5 linked regions of the Rattus norvegicus genome follow. The protein of the gene in region 4 interacts with the protein of the main gene of each other region in a pairwise test. Links are inferred from orthologs where the notes say so. Each region holds a gene or a part of one and is shown on either strand. Other genes may lie near its edges.

Evidence for each region. The genes of interacting proteins can lie anywhere in the genome.
Region 1: the proteins of Pstpip1 (region 4) and Tulp3 interact in binary tests that used the Homo sapiens proteins (3 or more experiments, as listed by UniProt). The two-hybrid records come from large-scale screens. The link is inferred for Rattus norvegicus from reciprocal best matches to the Homo sapiens genes PSTPIP1 and TULP3.
Region 2: the proteins of Pstpip1 (region 4) and Cd2 interact in a two-hybrid assay, tested with the Homo sapiens proteins (2 studies listed by BioGRID and IntAct). The link is inferred for Rattus norvegicus from reciprocal best matches to the Homo sapiens genes PSTPIP1 and CD2.
Region 3: the proteins of Pstpip1 (region 4) and Lsm4 interact in binary tests that used the Homo sapiens proteins (3 or more experiments, as listed by UniProt). The two-hybrid records come from large-scale screens. The link is inferred for Rattus norvegicus from reciprocal best matches to the Homo sapiens genes PSTPIP1 and LSM4.
Region 5: the proteins of Pstpip1 (region 4) and Pcdhb20 interact in binary tests that used the Homo sapiens proteins (3 or more experiments, as listed by UniProt). The two-hybrid records come from large-scale screens. The link is inferred for Rattus norvegicus from reciprocal best matches to the Homo sapiens genes PSTPIP1 and PCDHB14.

What each region holds. Positions count from the first base shown.
Region 1 is NC_086022.1:163,315,455-163,319,692, reverse strand, and holds the start of Tulp3 (tubby-related protein 3), read left to right. Parts: upstream 1-1,438; 5' UTR 1,439-1,487; coding exon 1,488-1,528; intron 1,529-4,238. UniProt on the Homo sapiens protein: Negative regulator of the Shh signaling transduction pathway: recruited to primary cilia via association with the IFT complex A (IFT-A) and is required for recruitment of G protein-coupled receptor GPR161 to cilia, a promoter of PKA-dependent basal repression machinery in Shh signaling.
Region 2 is NC_086020.1:191,409,860-191,414,060, reverse strand, and holds the start of Cd2 (T-cell surface antigen CD2 precursor), read left to right. Parts: upstream 1-1,401; 5' UTR 1,402-1,477; coding exon 1,478-1,532; intron 1,533-1,641; coding exon 1,642-1,947; intron 1,948-4,201. UniProt on the Homo sapiens protein: CD2 interacts with lymphocyte function-associated antigen CD58 (LFA-3) and CD48/BCM1 to mediate adhesion between T-cells and other cell types. CD2 is implicated in the triggering of T-cells, the cytoplasmic domain is implicated in the signaling function.
Region 3 is NC_086034.1:18,792,057-18,796,180, reverse strand, and holds the start of Lsm4 (U6 snRNA-associated Sm-like protein LSm4), read left to right. Parts: upstream 1-1,324; 5' UTR 1,325-1,399; coding exon of another isoform or gene 1,400-1,483; coding exon 1,484-1,486; intron 1,487-4,124. UniProt on the Homo sapiens protein: Plays a role in pre-mRNA splicing as component of the U4/U6-U5 tri-snRNP complex that is involved in spliceosome assembly, and as component of the precatalytic spliceosome (spliceosome B complex).
Region 4 is NC_086026.1:65,394,348-65,398,427, forward strand, and holds the start of Pstpip1 (proline-serine-threonine phosphatase-interacting protein 1), read left to right. Parts: upstream 1-1,280; 5' UTR 1,281-1,422; coding exon 1,423-1,458; intron 1,459-3,386; exon of another isoform or gene 3,387-4,080. UniProt on the Homo sapiens protein: Involved in regulation of the actin cytoskeleton. May regulate WAS actin-bundling activity. Bridges the interaction between ABL1 and PTPN18 leading to ABL1 dephosphorylation.
Region 5 is NC_086036.1:29,484,483-29,488,687, forward strand, and holds the start of Pcdhb20 (protocadherin beta-14 precursor), read left to right. Parts: upstream 1-1,405; 5' UTR 1,406-1,544; coding exon 1,545-3,944; 3' UTR 3,945-4,205. UniProt on the Homo sapiens protein: Potential calcium-dependent cell-adhesion protein. May be involved in the establishment and maintenance of specific neuronal connections in the brain.

The DNA of each region.
Region 1 (4,238 bases), on a different chromosome or scaffold from region 4:
TCTGTCTAGAGTGGAAGAAATCACAGATGCTGGAGAAATGAATTCCTATTAACTTATCCTATGTGTACATAAAGCAGAAGCTCATATTCTAGTGTGGTTAGTGTGGACGTCTCAGTGACCCTCTTATGCATTCAAATAGCATCTCTTTCAACCCTACTCATTAGCATCTAGGCCCTTCTAGGCCAAGCAGAGCTTATGCTGTGCCTTACATGAGTGAAGATTTGTAGCACAAAAAAGGAAGAGGAGGAGGAGGAGGAGGAGGAGGAGGAGGAGGAGGAGGAGGAGGAGGAGGAGGGGTTGGGGATTTAGCTCAGTGGTAGAGTGCTTGCCTAGGAAGAGCAAGGCCCTGGGTTCGGTCCCCAGCGGTCCCCAGCTCCGAAAAAAAGAACGAAAAAAAAAAAAAAAAAAAAAAAAGCAGCAGCAACAGCCACCCAGGGTCACATAGGGAGGGGGGCCAAGTTCAGTGTTCTGCTCTCCTAGCCTTTGTTTGCAGGTATGCTATTCCCTAGTTTTCAAAAATTAATTTCTGGGACTTGGAGAGGTGGCTCAGCAGTTATGAGCCTTGGATACCCAGAAGGCACAAGTTCTATTCCCAGCACCCACATAGTGACTCACAACCATCTATAACTCCAGTTCCGGGGTATCTGACAGCTTTGGGCACCAGGGATGCATATGATATGCAGACACTCACATAGGTGAAACATACGGCACATGCCTTTAATTCTAGCACTAGGGCGCAGAGGCAGTTGGATCTCAGAGTTCCAGACCAGCCTAGGACTGTGTACTGAGATCCTGTCTCAAAATAAATACATTATTTTTTAAGTGAATTTTTGGATTCAACATCAGTGTGCTTTTGGCCTTACTCATTAAGTCTATCTGTTGTAGTTCTGGTCATAAAGTCCTAGAGGGACCAGAGCCACAAAGGCACTGATGCCTGGAGGCATGATTCAATGCAGAGAGGACAGCTTAGTAGCTACCCTCACGAATAAGGACACTTGAAGAGGGTCCCCAGGTAGGGATCCCGCAGTCGGCCTGTGGGCAAGGGCTAACGGTTTGGAAGGCTGAATGAAGGCCTCAGGTATCCTGGAGCAGGTCAGACTGCGAAGCTTCGGGCGACAGAGGTTCGAAAACCCGGGACTACACCCTGGCGCACCACAGTGGAGTGCAGGGAATCACCCTGTCGTGGTCGGCCCTGGAGTGGAGCAGATGAAGACTACTCCGAGAACCAGCTCGGACCCAGCCCCGGGGCTGTTCCCCTCTCTAGCGCACGCGCCATTGCCTCCCGGTGCCTCCCGCCCCCTGGAAACCCTCCAGCATCGCGGCTAGCGTCATTTGCCAGTGAGACGGGAGCGGAGGGTACTGGACCAATGGGCGTCGGCGACAGTGCGGGGTGTGGTTGCCAGGGGCGGGGCCCGACCTCCTCCATCCTCTCCAGCCGGGCGGCGGCGTCTTGGGGTCTGGACGCTGATGCCACCGGTCGGGCGGGTATGGAGGCGGCGCGCTGCGCACCGGGATCCCGCGGGGACAGGTCAGGCGGCGGAGAGACGGGCAGGGGTCTCCAGGGGGGGCGGGCAAGAGCGGAGGCCAGGCTCTTGTACCCAGGCTGGGCAGGGGCTATGCACACCCTGTGTCTCCAGAGCTCTCTTGTCGCTCTCCTGGAGTTTACCCCGAACCAGCTCGCCCTTCACCCCTAGGGCCTCGGAATCTCTGACTTGCAGTGCGCTGTGCTTCCTGCGCCGCAAGCTCTCTCGAGCCGCTCCCCTGGAGTTTACCCCGGACGAGCTCTCCATGCTCCCCTAGGGTCTCGATTCCCTCACTTGCAATGCGTTCTCCCGTCTCTGTCTCTCTCGACTTGGATCAGAACTGAGCTGGAAGGAGGGCACTCCTGGGAGTCGAAGCGGAAGGTCGAGGGTGATGGTTAATTGGTTCCAAGGCCGTTGCTTTTGGCAGTCATTGCGGAATTCTGGAACGAGTCCGAGGACTGAAAATGCAAAACTGTTCTTTTCTTCTTTCTTTCTTCCCCTGAGTTCCAGGAGTTCTTTCAGTGAGGCCTGTCTTAGTTTAGACTGTTCCATACTCTCGTTAGTGCCCCCGATTTCTCTACCAAGACCCCTCTTTTTTCCTGGTTCACAGAGTGAGCTTGGGAAAGCAAACGGGCTGCAATCCCAGCCTCCTCATTTCTCGTCAGCTAGGCTAACGAAAAGTTAATGGGGGGCCCTGTGAAATCACTGTCTCAAAACTTCAGCATTGTGTGAGGATTGAAACCAAACACGCCAACTGCATTCTTCCTTTACCCTTCCGTTACCACAGCAGATAAAGACTTGGCGTAAGGATTTAGTCTGACGTTTAAACGAGTTTTTAACTGGCCCGAAACCATCTTTTAAGAAGTTACAATAGAGACCCGTGCTCTCCATCGGTGTCATACAAGACTAAGCTTCCCTCAAACTTGACAATAAGGCTGACTTTGAACATTTGTTTCCTACCTCTGCTTCCCAAGGCTGACCTATTTTCATCTTTCATCAAGTAAATTCTATAAACTTGATAGCTGCTCGCCGAAATTTGTTTTCAACTCCCCCTCCATTTTGGGAACAGAAAATACATTTGCAAGTATTAGGCCGGGTTAGCAAAGTTAGTATTCAGCATGTCCGGGTGAAATCAGATGATATCTCGTTCAGCTGAGGGATTTCATTTTTAACTAAACGATTTTAGAGAAGTCAATTCCATAGGAATGTAATTTTTATTTTGAGGTAGGTCTTATGTAGCAGGACTGAAACTCGATATTTAAACCAGGCCAGCTTCGAACTCACACAGATCCATCTGTCTCTGCCTTCCATGACTCACGATTTTAGGGAACAGGAACTTGACTTTGAGATTGGGACCAGCTGGCAGGTTTTGTTTTGTTTTGTTTTTTTTTATTTTATTTTATTTTTCATCTCCTGAACTTGAAGCTTAAAGGAATAATTTTAAGCACCTCCCCCATTCTTCCAAAGAAAAGAAACCGACTCTAATTTCTAGTTGATTGACACGTTAGGAGCCAGTGCGAGGCCCTAGTTTCTCCTGCCCTAGGTAGAGCATGAAGCTCTGTCACTGTTTAACTCGTTTGTTGCTAAAAGCCAGTGAATGTCTCCCTTTTTAGGCTGTCCTTAATAGTTTTTTGAGAGAGACTGAGACTGACTTGGTTGAATGTCAGTATAATCCGGTAATCCAGGCTAGCCTCAAACTCAAAATCCCCCCTGCCTGAGCCTCCCAAGTGTCTTATATAGGCATGCATCACCAAGCCTGGACGTACTTGTGTACTAGGTTCTCTCTCTCTCTCTCTCTCCCCCTCTGTCCCTCTCTCCCTCACTCCCTTCCCACCCCTCTCAGGTTTGAAATTTTCTTTACATCCTTACCAAAATTTCCCCTTCCCCCTCTCCTCCCAGTATCCTCCTCCCTTCCCACCCCCCCACCCCCCATCTACTCCTCTTCTCTTTCTCTTCAAGAAAGGGCAAGCCTACCCATAGATATCAGCCAGTCATGGCATATCAGGTTGCATTAAGACTAGGCACCTCCTCTTCTATTAAGGCTGGAGGAGGCCATCCAATAGGAGGAAAGAATCCCCAAATGAGGTAACAGAGTTAGAACCAGCCCCTGCTCCCACTTTAGGAGTCTTATAAGAAGACTATGCTACACAATTGTAACATATGTGCAGAGAGCCTAGGTCAGTCCCATGCATGCTCCCTGGTTGGCGGTTCAGTCTCTGTGAGCGCCTGTGAACCTCAGTTAGTTGATTCTGTAGGTTTTCTTGTGGTGTCTTTGACCCCTCTGGCTTCTTCAATCCTCCTTCTCTTCCACAGGATTCCCTAAGCTCCACCTAATGTTTAGCTGTGGGTCTCTGTATCTGTTTTCATCAGTTGCTAGGTGAAGCCTCTCTGATGATGGCTACATTAGGCTCCTGTCTGCAAGCATAGCAAACAGGATATCATTAACAGTGTCAGGGGTGATCTCTCTCTTACGGCATGGGTCTCAAGCTGGACCAGTCACCGCTTGCCCATTTCCTCTTCCTCTGCTCTGTCTTTACCCCTGTACATCCTACAGGCAGGACAGATTGTATGTAGGTTGAAGGGTTTGTGGCTGGGTTGCTGTCTCCATCCCTCCACTGGAAATCTTGTCTCGGTTTGGGCTCCACATCCCCATTGTTAGGAGTTTTAGCTAGGGTCACCCTCACAGATTCCTGGGAGTTTCCATTGCATGAGATT
Region 2 (4,201 bases), on a different chromosome or scaffold from region 4:
AAGAGTAGAAATTCTTTTATGTTAAGTCTTATTACACTTGGGTCCCCCCCGCCCCCGGAATTAATGTTTTAACTCAACTGTAATGCATTGTTGTGGCTGTTGTAAGTACCTGAAATGGAAAAATCATGATTTTGAAGATCTTTTCCCAGTGAATTCTAAAGACTCAAAATACTGGATGTTCACTGTATCTCTTGCCCATGTGACTTCTCTGTTGTCTTTTTAGGGACACTAGTCCTTGCATCCTTGAACCTCTCCCAGATCACGAACCCTGTTCTTTTTTTTCTCTCTCCCAGTTATGATTGTCCTGGTCTCTCCGTCTCCATTGCCATCTACAGTCTTAATTATCCTGGATATTTTGGATTTGGTTGTTCACTACCATTTTATAGTCTTAGGACAAGAGAGATGGCTTGGTACTTAAGAGCACTGGCTGCTCTTCCAGAGGACCCAGGTTCCATTCCCAGCATCCATAAGGCAGCAGTTCACAATCATCTGTAACTCCGATTCCAGGAGATCCCATGGCCTCTGCTGGCCTCTTCAGGAACTGTGTGTGTCTCAGTTACTTTTCAATGGCTGTGACAAGTCATCGTGACCAAGGCAACTTACAGGAGAATTTATTGGAGTCTTAAAATTCCATGACCACCATGACAGGTAGTATGGCGGCATGCAAGCATAGTGCTGGGACAGTAGCTGGGAGCTTACATTCCTATCCACAGCAGGAGAGGGGGAGGGGGAAAGGGAGAGAGGGAGAGAGGCCAGGAGGGGGAGGGAGAGAGACAAGGAGGGGGAGGGAGAGAGGGAGGGAAAGAGAGGGATGGAGGGGGAGGGGGAGGGAGAGAGACCAGGAGGGGGAGGGAGAGAGACCAGGAAGGGGAGGGAGAGAGATCAGGAGGGGGAGGGGGAGAGGGAGGGAAAGAGAGGGATGGAGGGGGAGGAGGAGGGAGAGAGAGAGAGAGAGAGAGAGAGAGAGAGAGAGAGCGCTCATGAGCCAAGCTCTAACAGGACCGCAAGGGCTTTAAAGCCCTCTAAGCCCAGTGACACACCTCCAACAAGGCCACACCTCCTAATCCTTCCCAAACATACATTTCTGAATTCTATTCCCTTATGAACATTTGCCAGTGAGTCTACCTGATCCTGCTGAAGGCAGCACAGCTGAGTGGACAGCTGTTTAAGCCCTGGTTTACAAAAGGGTAGCTCTGGCAACTGCCCTCCCAGTTCCTCTTCTTCTGGTGAGGTGCTAAAACCCAACACCCTAAACTGTTTTGTAAAGATTAAAATGTGGCACAGGCTCCTGTTTCAGCTAAGGAGGGCAGCAAATGCACGGGTCTGCTAGGGGCTGTGGGTGTGTTTTCTTCCCTACTGTGAACGGCAAGCATGAGAGGCATGTGGTTCAGAGTGTTGGGTGTGGCTTCTGCCAGCCTCACCACAGCCCTGGCAGAAAGAAGAACTCAGAGCCACCACTGGGAAAAGAATTGTAAAGATGAGATGTAAATTCCTAGGGAGTTTCTTTCTGCTCTTCAGCCTGTCCAGCAAAGGTAAGCATGGGTGTGGAGCTCCTCTGGAGACCTCAGAGTGGACCTGAGAGGCAAAGAGGGAGATTCTCGGTAGTCCCAAGACCTCAGAAACCATCTTACTTTTTGACAGGAGCAGACTGCAGAGACAGTGGGACCGTCTGGGGTGCCCTGGGTCATGGCATCAACCTGAACATCCCTAACTTTCAAATGACTGATGATATTGATGAGGTGCGATGGGAGAGGGGGAGCACCCTGGTTGCCGAGTTTAAAAGGAAGATGAAGCCTTTTTTGAAATCGGGAGCATTTGAGATCTTAGCAAATGGAGACTTGAAGATAAAGAATCTGACAAGAGATGACAGTGGCACCTATAATGTAACGGTATACAGCACAAATGGGACACGTATCCTGAACAAGGCACTGGACTTGAGGATTCTAGGTAAGTCTTCATTCCTTAAAGTTTTTCATTTTAGGACGGGTGCTATGTAGCAAGTTGGGGAGTAGCGTTTCTGTAACATCCCTGTCTGTCGTTTCTTGTTGGCTCACAATGAAGACTCCAGTGGGTGAGGGTGGTCCTCAAGTCTGTCTGCCTTTCCTTCTCTCTTTGGCATGGCTGTGGGGGCTGTGTAAAGACTCCCAGGTTAAAGACAGGCATTAATAAGATAGAAAACAGGTCGGCAGAGATAAAGGTGGACATCCTTGGTGGCTGATGAAGTTGTAGACAGGGCATCAGAGGGTCTCCAGGGAGCAGTGAGTCTCTTGTCTGGAGAGCTAAGTTCAAGCCAGGGTGCTCTGAAGGAGTTAGAGGGCAAGATAGGGCTAGCTACAGATGCTGACCCAAAGGAAGACTAGAGATGCTGAGCTGAAGAAGGCTGGAGATGCTGAGGCAAAGGACCAACAGCTTCTCTGTTTAGTCTTCTCAACATCAAGGAAGGTGGACGGTAATTTTGCTGGTCCCTGAACTAAACACACAAGGTGCGACTTTGTCTTTGTGTACACAGAGAGGGCAGGATACTGAAGAGGAATATGAGAAGACTAGCCAGGAAGCCTCTACTGTAATCCAAGTGAGGCCAAGCCGGTGGCCTTAATCTTGGTAGCACACAAGAACCAGCAAGAGAGCTGTAAGAAGTGACTAATGACCAGACTCCCGGCATGGTGTCTGTGCAGCAGTGAGTGGGAGCTTCTAGTGAGTAGTTGTCATTGATAGGCATTGGCCTGGAGTAGAGGGTCCCTGAGAGGTAAGGAGGGACGCAAGCATGCCGGGTGTGGGTGTGAGAAATGAAGGAAGCTTGGGTGGGTGAGAAAGAGGAGAACGAAGCATGGAATGCCACAGGCGGCAAAAGTCCAGGTACAAGTGGGCAGCTCGCACCAATGGGTGAGAGAGGAAAGCCTGCCCTTGGCTTTCAGAGAAAGCTGAGAATGCCTTGTCCAGTATAGATCAGCCATTCGGGGAGTACACAAATGTTCTGAGATTCACACAGGAAATGTCAGTAGAGAAAGGGCTCCCCTCATCCCATCTGAGGGTGTCCTTCCTGCTCTGTACTCAGCAACTGGGTCTAACACCAACCCCTCTCCAGGGCCCACTGTTAGCTCCTCTGTGTACAACCCCTTCCAGAACCTAATCCTGTAACTTTATCTAGAGGGAATATTCCAGAAACGGAATGGGAATGAGAACCACTGATCGTGGGCACCGGGAATGGCCGGTCATGACCACAGGCCATGCGGCTCTAGGGTCCTGTTGTGATATTGAGCTGTACTGAGCTCTGTATAGAAGCCCATACCTATGCTCTGACACTGTCACCTTCATTTTGGGGTGATAATGGCTACTGGGGAGAAGTCAGGAGCTTGTGGACCTAGTTTTCTTTAGCAATCCCAAGAACTTAAAATTACAAGCGTCTATCCATCTGTAACGAAATAGGCCTGATCAGAAGTGGCCACGTTCTCGATGTTTGACAGGAACAAGGCCAGAATTCCAGCCCAGAGCTTCCCTGGATGAGGACAGTGACATCCCCTCGCAAACAAGCTTATTGTTATGTAATTCATGTACCGCAGATTGCCCATTACCACACACAGTTCAACAGCTTTCTGTAGTCACAGAATTATGTGGTTATCACCATAGGCAGCATTCTCCTTACCCCTAAAAGGAAACCCATACTAAAATCAGTGGCTTCACTGTTACATGCAAATGGCAATGTCACACAGTATGATGACTCAACTTGAGGTCTTGTCACCATTATGTATGACTACATGACTACATATTACACAGCATTGGAAAATTGCCCTCTGTCCGAGAACCTGATTACCCAGTGTAGGTTATATATCACTTACTTAATGAGTTTAGGACTAGAAGTGTTTAGGATTTGGGACTTTTTGAAGATTTCGAAATATTTGCATATATGTATGCTATATCTTGGAGATGGGACCTAAATGTAAACACAACACTCATCCGTGCTTGTATATACCCCATACGCACTATTCAAGACAATTTAAAACAATGTTTTAAATAGTATTGTGTAGGAAACAAGGTCTCACAGCATGAGACTTTCCATGTGTGGTATTGAGTTGTGGCTTGATAGTTTGGAACCTTTCAGATTTATCCATTAGGATGCTCATGGGGCCTGTGATATCCAACGAGGGGTGTCGTGAGTTATGAGTGTGACACGCTCCTCGATGCTGGCTGACATTCAGGGTCC
Region 3 (4,124 bases), on a different chromosome or scaffold from region 4:
GGGGCAGAGGAACCGTACAAGTGAGCTCATCACTGACATTCTGCACCAGGCCTTCCAGAAGCTTGGTAAAACAGCTGTCCTGCTCGGGACAGCTCAGGGCAGAGCTCCGATTCCATCGCCAGTAGCCAAAGGAAATAAAAATAAATAGAAGGGCAGGGGAGTTGGATCCATGGGTAAAAAAGGCTGACTGGTGAAAAGGCTAGACTGATTCCATGACAGACTTCAAACTGGCAGTTAAGGAGAGTAGGCCTAAATCAGTTTCCAAGAACTGGGCAATTCCAGGCAAGTCCAGGCCTCAGAAGCTGCCCTGCCACCTGGCCTGAGGCAAGGACAATGGCTGGGTCAACAGCAGTTTCCAGACTTCCTCAGCAGCAGTTTCCAGCCCTCCCCAGTAAGTTTCCAGCCCCCACACCCCAGTAATGGAATGTCTGTAGAGATGGACCCAACAGATTAACATAGAGGTCACCTACCCCAGAATTCCCTAATGTGCTTTAAATCAGACTTCCAAGTTCACTTGGGTGTCTATTCTGGTAATGGGAGACCACAGCATGCTGGACTTCTGCAGAATAAAACATTCATTGCCTTTACATACTATTTGAATCCACGGTATCATTCTTCGGTGGCGAATCATGGACCCTAACACTGGGCAAGCATGAGAACCTAACTTTGTATCTCAAGACGACAGATTAAAACACACCTGCAATCCCAGCACCAAGATCTCAGGAAGTTTGAGACCAGCCTGGTCAACACTGAGTGTTCCAGGCCGGTTAGGGCTGCACAGAGAAACCCTAACCTCTTCCCAAAATGATAACGATTAAAAAAAAACAAAAACAAAAACAAAAAAACAAGGTGCTGGCTTGGTAGCCTACAGCGGCCATGCCAGCACTGAAGAAGTTGCGTACCAGGCTATTGCGAGTTCATGATCAGCTTCAGCTGCCACAAGAACCCATCTCAAAACACGAAAATTCCAGCGATTTGTTTCCTGTCGCCGGGGAACGCTGGCCCTGACGTTCGCGTTCAAGGATTATATTTGGATTGATAAAGAGAAAGAGCTCCATAAGGGCGAGGACGGAAAGATAGGAGCGCGAAGAGGGTATGAAGCGGGTTTCCCCAGCCCAGCGCGATTCACATGCATTAGCCAGTTTCGCCCACAGTGTGGCGCCGAACCAGTCAGGAGTGCACATCTGCGCAGGCGCCATTTCCCAACATACACCATGAGTGGGCATGAAGAGCACCGCGGCCTTTTGCGTCACTCCGGTGTCACGCTTTACGGCCGCTCCTCAATCCCACGGTGGGAATACGACGCGATACGCCGCCGCGTTATGTAGGCACCGCCTTATCCCGTTCCGATTGGATCGGTCCATTTAGTCACTCGCTGATTGGTTATAGTTTCTGCCAGTCTTTTTCAGGCTGGAGCGCGCGGTAGACTGCCGGTGGGAGTGCGAGTGGCTGTGCAGCGGCGGAAGTTATCTCTGCAGGGAAGATGGTGAGGGCCGCGAGGCGGCGGGGCGCGCGCTCAGGGTCTTCGGGCTGCTGAGAGATGGGGAAACCTGAGGCCGGAGGTGACCAGTGTCTCTCTAGGGTCCCAGTCCGCCACCGTTGCGGATTTATCTCTTGAATGGACAAGGTTTTTTGCGGCCGGAAGGACTATGATCGCTTCCGGAGCTTGTCACCGTTTTTGATAGGATTGCTGCGTTTCCGGGAAGTGGGCGGACCTAAGGGCTCACGTGGGTTCCATTGCCCACTTGATGCTTATCAAGTGTCTGACCTCAGCTGCCTACGCCTTTGGCCGAAAGTCCAACCCAGATTGAGGGATGTTTCTCTCCCTTGGACACATAGCAGGTCCTGCTCGGGAGGAAGGAAATTTTTTCTCCTAGTTCAGGCTCAGGCCTTCCCAGTTGTGGGACCTGACATGATGGAATAGAGGAGGCCAGGTTTCCCTGCTGCTCTATCGAGGGGCGCGTTGGCCCAAGTTGGGAGAGCTGGACATGCCCATCTCAGTTCTTGATGGTAGAATATTTGGTTTTGTTTTTTGGTTAGGCTTTCTGATCTGAACTTAACGTAATCCAGGCTAGCCTCAAACTCATCCTCTTGCTTCAATCAGTGGAGTATGGAAAGGACACGTGTATACCTCCATGTTTGGGTTAGGACGGGAGGCAGATCTCATATAGCCCAGGCTGCTTTTGAACTTCCTTTGTAATCACGTATGACTGAACTCCTGATCCTGCCTTTACTCCAGAGCGACCCTGGGTTTTGTGGTGCAGGACCTCAGGGCCTAACACATGCTGTGTAAGCACTCCCCACTAGGTGTACCCTGAGCCCCTGAGACTCCTTCAGTCTATTCCCACCATAAAGCACCCGCCCAGCCTCTGAGCCTCCCTGAAGGGATGGCCAGGTGTGTCCAGGACTGGACACCCTCTCCACGCAGGTACGCACAGACACTCCCATATCTCTGCGGCCCAGCTGGTACAGGAGTGTCCCAGCCGAAAGTTTCTGAATTCGGAGCCCAAGGCTTGATCCTCCAGCCGTCTCATCTACACGCTGGATCCCAGAGAGGCTGGAGGGTGGCTGAGAAGGAATTTCCTTTCCTGAAACTGCTCCTCTGATGGGAGGTGCTGGGACTGGAGCCCAGAGCCAGTGGCCATAACACCTGCAGGTGCAGGTGCTCAGTGTAAAGCTGTATCTCCCCACTCAAAAGCCTGTGACTATCCCAGCTCCACCCTCCCTGTCCACCCTGGCCCGTTTCACTCTGAGCTTTTTTTCCTTCGTTTTGGGAGGCCTGCCCAGCTGGAGCACGGACTAATTACTTCTCTATGAACCCCATTCCTTCCATTCCTCTGTATCCCACTGCATGCGCAGATCTGGGGGTGGCGGCCTGTCCCTACACCACACTTACCTGTGGCTCTGGACAGGATGCACCTGTGCTGGGTATCTCCACCCTGCCTGTTCAGCAAGTGTTTACTGCCCCTCCCTGCTGCAGGAGAGCCCGCGCCCACACTGACCTTCTGTCTAGCCAGGGAGACTGGTGCTGATCACCCTGTAATTAGAGAGCGGCCCCTGCTGTGGTGGGTGGAAACAGGCTGGCAGCCCAGGGTGGCCATTAGGGGCCTAGTCACAGGAGGGGACATGCTCAGCAGGATTGGGCAAAGAAAGTCTGGGGAAGGGCACCCTGGGAGGTGGCTGGGGCCCGGGCAGGAGGGACAAAAGCTCAGTAGTAGGCTGGACCTTACCATGGCTGCCTCACAGCCAGACTAGCCTGTGCTGGCCATAACAGCTCCAGAAGAGCTGTGTATGTGCGCCTGTTCTTGTTTAGTGATGTTTGCCCCTGAGCCTTTGCTGTGCCTTGTCTTCAGGAGTTTGACTGTTCTATTTGTTCCTTTATTGAAACAGGGTCTCATGTAGCCCAGGCTGACCTCACATTGTAGCCAAGGATGACCATGGCTCCAACTCCCTGGAGCTTAGCCACAGGCTGCCAGACTGTGCCTCTTTTTCACTGTTTATTTGAGGGTCAGACTGGACACCATTGTCACTGATCACCAAGGCCACCCTCCCACCACCCATTTTCACAGAAGCCATCCTCTGCCTCCTACCCTTTCAGGAAGTCTCTGCAGGAAATGGGCTCCAGCCTCACTTCCTGCCACTGAACCCCCACCCCCACCCCTAGCTCTTCTCAGGAAGGGCCCTGTGCTGCAGGCTCCCCCAGCCCTCTCGTGACCCAGAGTCACCAGGCTGGGCACGATGGCCCCGAGGATCTGAGTCCTTGATGTTTGTTTCTTCTGTTTTAAATGATTTATTTTTATTTCATGTGCATTGGTGTTTTGCCTGCGTGCATGTCTCTGTGAGTGTGTTGGTTCCCCTGGAACTGGAGTTATAGGCATTTGTGAGCTACCATGTGGGTGCTGGGAATTGAACCCAGGTCATCCAGAAGAGCAGCTGTGCTCTCAACCACTGAGCCCTGTCTCCAGCCCCTTGTGATATTGTTGTTGTTGTTGTTTGTTTGTTTGTTTTGCTGTGTGACCCAGTTACCCTGGAACTTAGATCCTCCTGCCTCTGCCCCTCAGTGCAAAAATTAAGTGCCTGGCTGTATTTTGATTTTTGGGTGAATTTTGGAGACATGTCTAATG
Region 4 (4,080 bases):
TAAAAATTAGAAATAAATCTCTTTTTAAAAGATGCTCATAGCCCTTTGAGCTCAAGCCCTGGGATTCTAGAGAGAAAGGCTTCCAGCACCAGGCCTGCTGTGTTTCTTCTTGGGGGTTGTTTAAGGAAGTCTGGGTGTGTCTCTCTTTCAGCCCTGGCACGTAACCCACACTTGGGAGCTCAGCTGTCTGATCAACCCAGTTGGTCCTAAGGTAAGCCTCGGCGAGGGTGGTGATTTGTGGACAATCCCTGACTCATTCTTTTCACCAGCCCACCCGGGGCTCAGGACTCCCAGAAGCCTCTGCTGAGTGGACAAATCCTGACTCTGGATAGTGTTCCCCAGACCTGCTTGCCCTACAAAGAGAAATTCCAGAAGCATTCTTGATATGAAAAACTTTCCCAAAGACCGTGGGCGGGGGTGGGGGTGGGGGGGAGGTGCACGACGGTGGGGAGGCTGAGGCTCTGAGTTAGGTCAATCAAGGTCCTTCCACTATTGAAGGGCGGAGTCCAAATTAAACAAAAGCTGAACGAGTCTCCAGACTCCTGTCTCCCTCCGTCTATCACTATCACAGTTGTGAACTGAAGAGGGATGGGTGAAGATTTGCACGGGGACCAGGACCCATGCCTCGTCAGGCTGAGGTCCTTAGCTGGTTACCTGCTCACCCCACCTTTCCGCTCTCATAGCCCCTGGACCAGGGCTGAGTCTGCCCCATGCTGTGAGCTACTTGAGGGTTGGGACCTAGTCTAGGGCATGAACTGCTAAGGTTGGAATGAATGGTGGATGTCTTTGACTCGGGTGAGACCCCAAAAACCTAACCTCTTGGGGCCTGTGAGGGTAACAGCCACGGGATTCCTAACTTGACAGTTCTAAAGCTAAACTGGGCCAGGATATGAGCAGGCAGCAGAGTGGCAGGTGGCAGGCAGGGCTGTGCAGAAGAAACGCAGCAGCTCAACTTCCTGTGGGTTAGAGTCCTGCGCCTGCCCTGGGGGGATGTTGCACAAATCTTCCTGTGCAGGCCTCAGGCTGCTTGCCTGCCTGGCCTGTGCACATCCTGCCTCTCTCCCAGCCTCTGCCCGCCACCTGGGCTGCCTGCCCTGGGCCTCAGCCTGCGTCCTCTTCCATCACGGGGCTGGCGAGAGCCAGGCTGGAAATCGTGGCCCACCCATCCATCACTGGGCAGGGCTCCTTCCTCATTTCGCTGCTGATTCTAGCCCCAAACAAAACAGGTTGAGCCTTTTTCCTCCCTCCGGCAGTTGCCTCTGACTTGTGGCTGCCTTCTGAGCGTTTCAGACGGCGCCGACTGGAAGTGGGAGGGAGAGCTTGGTCTAGCCGCGCTAGAACTGGGACTTGCTCCTGGCTCCTGGCCCGCATTCAGCCCTGTTTGAAGCAGGAGTGCTAGCATTTGACACAACAGACAAGACGATGACCGCCCAGCTGCAGTTCCGCGATGCCTTCTGGGTGAGTGGAATCGACTTGGGGCGGTGAGCTTGCGGAACAGGTCCAGCCAGGCGGGAATCACCTTGGAGACTGACATGGGGTACAGTTTTCCCATAAAAATTGTGCCTTGCCTTTGGTCCTAATTATCATGGAGGTGACCTGGGCCACAGTCTCTACTGACGGGAAAGGCAAAAGATGGGCCCTGAGATAATGAATTTCTCTCACAGGCATTACCCCCACTGACAACAGAGAGCCGACCCCTGTACTCACAGGCTGATTCTCCTCTGGGACAGCGGCAGAGCTCACCAGGACAGCCTAATGGAGGATTTGAGGAGGATACATAGGGAGGAATGTGACAAGGGAGAAGTCAGCAGCCATGGCACCAGGCCAGCTTTGGTTGGGTTTGGGTTTCAGCTTTGTAAGGGCTAGGTCGGTTGCTGTTTCTCTTTGGGCCTCAGTTTCTACATCTGTGTAATGGAGATAAGTTCAGATATTTGAACTGAAGGTGGTCGAATGCAGGAAAGTCCTGGTGTCTTACCAGTGTTAAGCCTCCTTCTCTGACCCAGCCTCTGATCTCTGCATGCCTCAGGCACTTGAAGGAGGGTGGGCTAGGTAGCTTCCTGCCTGACTTTTCCAATTCAGTGCAGGTGTAAATCAAATCTTTTTGCCCATGAAATATGGGAACCTGGTGGGCAAGAGCAGTGGAGACCACAAGGTTTGCCCAGGTTTCTTGTTTTCCACTTTGCCTCCAGCTTCCCCCTGACTCCTCCACTCCTGACTGTCCCTTGTGGCTCTTGGAGACAAGTTGAGACCTTTCGGTTAAAGCTGGAGATGTGTTTCTCCTGAAGATAATGCTTCCACACCACGGGGAACTCTTAGGACCTCTTACTCATGTGGTTCTGCCCCAGCCTCACCTGGGGCCAAAGCCGGGAGGATGAGGGTTAGTAAGCCACCCTCCCTTCCTTTGTGGCTAGCTCTGCTTGGGGTCCGTGCTAGAAGAGTATGTGATGGACTTCCTCCCTTGAAACTGATTTCACAGAGGACAGAGGGCCTTGCCTGGAGAGGGAGGGCATCTTGTGCCTGTCTGGGCCTCAGTTTCCCCATTTTTACAAAGAGTGTAGGACCAGTCCAGAGCTGCAGATGAAGGCAGTGTTGTTGGCCATCTCATTCACCATCTCACTCATTCTCATTGGTGATAGCCAGAATCCAACTGCCACTCTGATTTAGAGCCCTGCAACCCAGGAAGGCCAGACACCCTGACCCATTTTATCCCTAGTATTTCTATCCAAATCCCAACGTCTGGGTTCAACTTCCCCAGATCAAAGCCTAGAAAAGCAGCAGCCCAGTGGCAGAGGCCAGGCAGAAGGATGACATATAAGACATCAGGGTGTGGCAGCAGCAGCAGCAGCAGCAGCAGCAGCAGCAGCAGCAGCAGCAGCAGCAGCAGCAGGACCCAGCTCCCCGGGGGCTGCTTCCTGGGTAGTGTCACACCATGCCCTGTACTTGCTCTGCCTGTGAGCTGCCGCAGGTGTCCTGGCATCCTGGCACTGTCTCACCGCGCCTGGCTCCCTAGGCCTTGGCTAGGAGACACTTCCCAGGGAAGGCAGAGCAAGGGACAAGGAGGAAGTAGATAGTGGCAACCTTTCACACTGCCCTGGAATCCTGCAGCCTGGCACTATACTCTGTGAAAATAGTCTTAGGCCTAGAGTGGTGGCAAATGCCTGCAATCTCAGCCCAGGCAGAGAGAAGAGGGCCAGAGTAAGTTGACATAAAGTAAGTTTGTCTGCATGGTAAGAGGTTGTCTCAAATGACAGGGAGAGACCAAGGCAGTGGGCATAGTTAAGGAGAAAGAAAAGAAAAGGAAAAAGGATAGCCAGTCTCTCTCTCTCTCTCTCTCTCTCTCTCTCTCTCTCTCTCTCTCTTATTTATTTTTATTTTATGTGTTTGGGTATTTTGCCTGCCTGTATTGTCTGTGCACCATGTGCATGCAGTGCCTGTGGAGGCCAGAAGGGGGCGTCTTATCCTCTAAAACTGTAGGGTGACCCACCATTTTACCAAAGGAATTAAACCCAGCTAATGTTGTGAACTGTTAAACCTCTGAGCCGGGTGGACGTATGCAATCTCAGTACACACGGTTTATCTGGCAACTTTTGCCTTTCCTGAGCACAGGTAGGAACCAGCTGTATTTCTAACATCCATTCATAAGAAGGAGGGAAGTAAAGGGGTCCTGGGAATTAAAGAAACCGTTACTAGGAGCTATCTCCAGAGATCATGTACTTACAGGAGATACCCTAAAGCCATGTGGGGGTGAGGAGGCGGGGAGCGTGTGTAAGCATTTATGTGTGCCATGCTGTGTGTAGATCAGAGGGTGGCCCCTGGTGTTAGACTCCCTTTCGCCTGTTTCGAGACAGGGTCTCCTGTTTGCTGCTGTGAGCAGGTGGCCATCCGTCTGCTGCTTGAGCTTCCAAGAGTTCTCCTGCCTCTCACTCCAGTTTTGCTTTGGGTGCTCTGGGATCATAGACATGAGCTGCCCCTGATTTTATGTGGGTTCTTGGATTCAGACATGAGTCTACTCACGTGCAAAGTGCTTTACCTACTAGCTATCTCCCCAGCCCTACCCCAAGATTTCAACAGGCCCCACAA
Region 5 (4,205 bases), on a different chromosome or scaffold from region 4:
AGAGTAGCACTTGTCCATGAACTATACCCGCCTACTCATATAATTTAAATTATTCCTGGATTGCTAATACCTAATACCTAGTAACAATGGAAAGTCGTACATATTCAATATAAATGAAATTTGGCGCCTATGTTTTGATTGTTTTATTTAATTTTATTTTGAAGCTAGAGACTGAACCAGGACTCACACCATTACTAAGGTACTGCCACATAGTTCAATTGTTTTCTCTTATCAGACATTTAGTTAATTTCCTTCTGGTTACTTTGCAAATGTCAACTCATTAGTTTCTACGACAAAAACCCTTGGAGACAAGACTATCAGCATTCTACTTATAGATAAGGAGACAAAGGTATCTAATTTGTCCAGGCCTATAGAGAGTGAGTGGCAGAACCACAATTCAGTGTTCCTAAACATTGTCCACCTCCTAGATCACAGTTACGTGTCTCTTCAAGACGTTTCTGTTACTCTTTACCTATGCACTGTTACATCTTTAATTACTAGCTAATGAATTCTTATTCCCTGAAAAGTTCTTAAAAGGATCATCTTACAGTGTCATATCTTCCAATATGCACATAAAGACATGTTTGTATGCATATGTGTATATGTCTTTTCAGACAGTGTCTCCCTACATAACTCTCACTAACATAGAGCTAACTGTGTAGACCATGCTTACCTTAAACTCTTACGGATCCCCCTACTTCTGCCTCTCAAGTGTTGGGATTGAAAGTGTGCACCACCAAACCTTACTGTGTTTTCAATGTAAAAGCAAGAATCTAATATTACCTTGTCATAAGTTCTCTATTAACAAAAAAGTAGTATGTTTTGTATTTTTCCTTATTCGTGTGTGTATGTGTGTGTAAGTGTAAAAAGTAGTGGAGTAATAATTAAATAATGAACTCCACCCCAACAAATATTTACCAGAGTTGATGAGGTAAATATTTGTAACTACTAAGTAATTGTCTTGAAATAAATATTTTTATTTATTTTGGAGCACTTTATTGTATCTTTTTTGAGTTGAACATTCAAAGCACTAATGATTTCATACAGAGAATGGACTGTGTTTGGATACTATTTCAAACAAACCAACAACACCAGACATTTTATAGAAAAGGAAGAAAGCTCAAACAGACTGAGTTATAAGCTATATCCAAGAAGTATTTCTACATGTGTATTGTGGTAATGATTTGCAGTTATATTTTAAAGGCGTTGCTAATTATAAATAACACCTGGATATTTAGAGATAAATATAAACTATGTGAAAATTGCTTTTGAAAATTCTAGATAGACATAAAATTTTAGGAGAAAAATATTAAATGACAAAATTCACAGAGACACATGGTGGCGCTGTAGGATAAGATCAAACAGTGCGTAGCCCGCCCTGTGGGTTCCACTATCCGAAGGACCAATTCAGTGAGAAGGGACGTATTACAGGAGCTTCACCGACGGAGCTGACAAGGGATTTTCAATAGAAATATCGGACCTTTGTCTCCCAAATTTGGGATTGAATTTAAATTTTGGAGTAGAAGAAGTCACCTGAAGGAACCATGGGAAACAGAAAGACTATCATCCTGCAGAAACGGCAAGTCTTGGTTTTCTTTGTTTTGCTGGGATTGTCTCGGGCGAGTGCTGAGTCTTTGCGCTATTCTGTAGCAGAGGAAACAGAAATTGGCTCTTTTGTGGCTAATCTGGCAAGGGATTTAGGGCTGGGGGTTGCGGAGCTGTCCTCCAGGGAGGCCAGGATAGTGTCAGACGATAATAAAAAGCATTTACTCCTTAATTTGCTGACCGGAGATGTGCTCCTGAGTGAGCGACTGGACCGTGAAGAGCTGTGTGGCTCCACCGAGCCCTGTGTGCTGCCCTTTCAGGTGGTACTGGAAGACCCTTTACAGTTCTATCGAGCTGAGCTGCATGTCAGAGACATAAATGATCACGCCCCTACATTCCTAGACAAGGAAATAACTATTAAAATACCAGAAAGCGCTGCTATCGGAGCCACATTTTTAATTGAGAATGCACAAGATCTGGACATAGGAAGCAACAGTCTCCAGGACTACAGCATTAGCCCCAGTTCTCATTTCTATGTTAAAATTCATGAGAGTGGTGATGGAAAGATATATCCAGAGCTGGTACTGGACAAAGCTTTAGATCATGAGGAAGAATCTGAGCTTAGATTGACACTTACAGCATTGGATGGCGGGTCTCCACCCAGGTCTGGGACAACATTAGTTCTCATAAAAGTCTTGGACATCAACGATAATGCTCCTGAGTTTGCTCAGAATTTCTATGAGGTGCAGGTCCCAGAGGACACACCCATTGGCTCCAGTATTATTACTATCTCTGCTAAAGATTTAGATATGGGAAATTATGGGAAAATATCATATTCATTTTTGCATGCAACAGAAGATGTTAGAAAAACCTTTGAAATCAACCCAACATCTGGGGAAGTCAATTTGAGATCACTGCTGGATTTTGAAGTAATACAGTCCTATTCTGTAACTATCCAAGCAACAGATGGTGGAGGTCTTTCAGCAAAATGCACTCTTTCAGTTAAAGTATTAGATATAAATGACAATGCACCAGAAGTGATCATATCATCGGTTACAAAGACAATTCCAGAGAATGCTTCAGAGACCCTGATCACTCTGTTCAGTGTCCGAGATCAAGACTCTGGAGACAATGGAAGGATCCTTTGCTCTATTCCGGATGACCTTCCATTTATTCTAAAGCCCACCTTCAAGAATTTTTTCACTCTACTTTCTGAAAAAGCACTGGACAGAGAAAGTAGAGCTGAGTACAACATCACCATCACTGTCTCAGATCTGGGCACACCCAGGCTCACAACCCAGCACACCATAACAGTGCAGGTGTCTGACATCAACGACAACGCCCCCGCCTTCACCCAAACCTCCTACACCATGTTTGTCCACGAGAACAACAGCCCCGCCCTGCACATAGGCACCATCAGTGCCACAGACTCAGACTCAGGCTCCAATGCCCACATCACCTACTCGCTGATGCCGCCTCGAGACCCACAGCTGGCCCTCGACTCCCTCATCTCCATCAATGCTGACAACGGGCAGCTGTTCGCACTCAGGGCGCTGGACTATGAGGTGCTGCAGGCCTTCGAGTTCCGCGTGGGTGCCACAGACAGAGGCTCACCCGCGCTCAGCAGCCAGGCTCTGGTGCGCGTGGTGGTGCTGGACGACAATGACAATGCGCCCTTCGTGCTCTACCCGCTGCAGAATGCCTCAGCGCCCTACACAGAGCTGCTGCCCAGGGCGGCAGAGCCTGGATACCTGGTTACCAAGGTGGTAGCTGTGGACCGCGACTCTGGCCAGAATGCCTGGCTGTCATTCCAGCTGCTCAAAGCCACGGAGCCGGGGCTGTTCAGCGTGTGGGCGCACAATGGCGAGGTACGCACCTCCAGGCTGCTGAGCGAGCGCGATGCACCCAAGCACAAACTGCTGCTGATGGTCAAGGACAATGGAGATCCTCCGCGCTCTGCCAGTGTTATGTTGCACGTGCTAGTGGTAGATGGCTTCTCTCAGCCCTACCTGCCTCTGCCAGAGGTGGCGCACAATCCTGCACACGACGAGGACACTCTAACACTGTACCTGGTCATAGCCTTGGCATCTGTGTCTTCTCTCTTCCTCTTGTCTGTGCTGCTGTTCGTGGGGGTGAGGCTGTGCAAGAAGGCCAGGGCAGCTTCTCTGGGTGGCTGCTCTGTGCCCGAGGGCCACTTTCCTGGCCACCTGGTGGACGTTACCGGCACTGGAACCCTGTCCCAGAACTACCAGTATGAGGTGTGTTTGACAGGAAGTACTGGGACAAACGAGTTCAAATTCCTGAAGCCAGTCATGCCCAGTCTTCAACTCCAGGACCCCGATTCTAATATGCTGGTAAAGGAGAACTTTCGGAATAGCCTGGGTTTTAATATTCAATAAAAATTTCCTTTAAACTTTTATTATTTTCTTTCTATTGACAAATTGCAAAGGCTTGTTTTTTTTTTTCTTAATCTGTATTGGATTTAAGGTCTTCCTGATGTTGCATTCATTTTCATATCACGTGTTTTTCTCAGAGTTACTTTGAAAATCTTTACTGGGATAAGAGTGATGCAAAGAAACACGTTTTGTTTTATTTTGTTGAAGTGTTGTGTTAACCGGTCTGCTGTTTCTTATATAAGACCCAGCAATGGAAATGCTGGT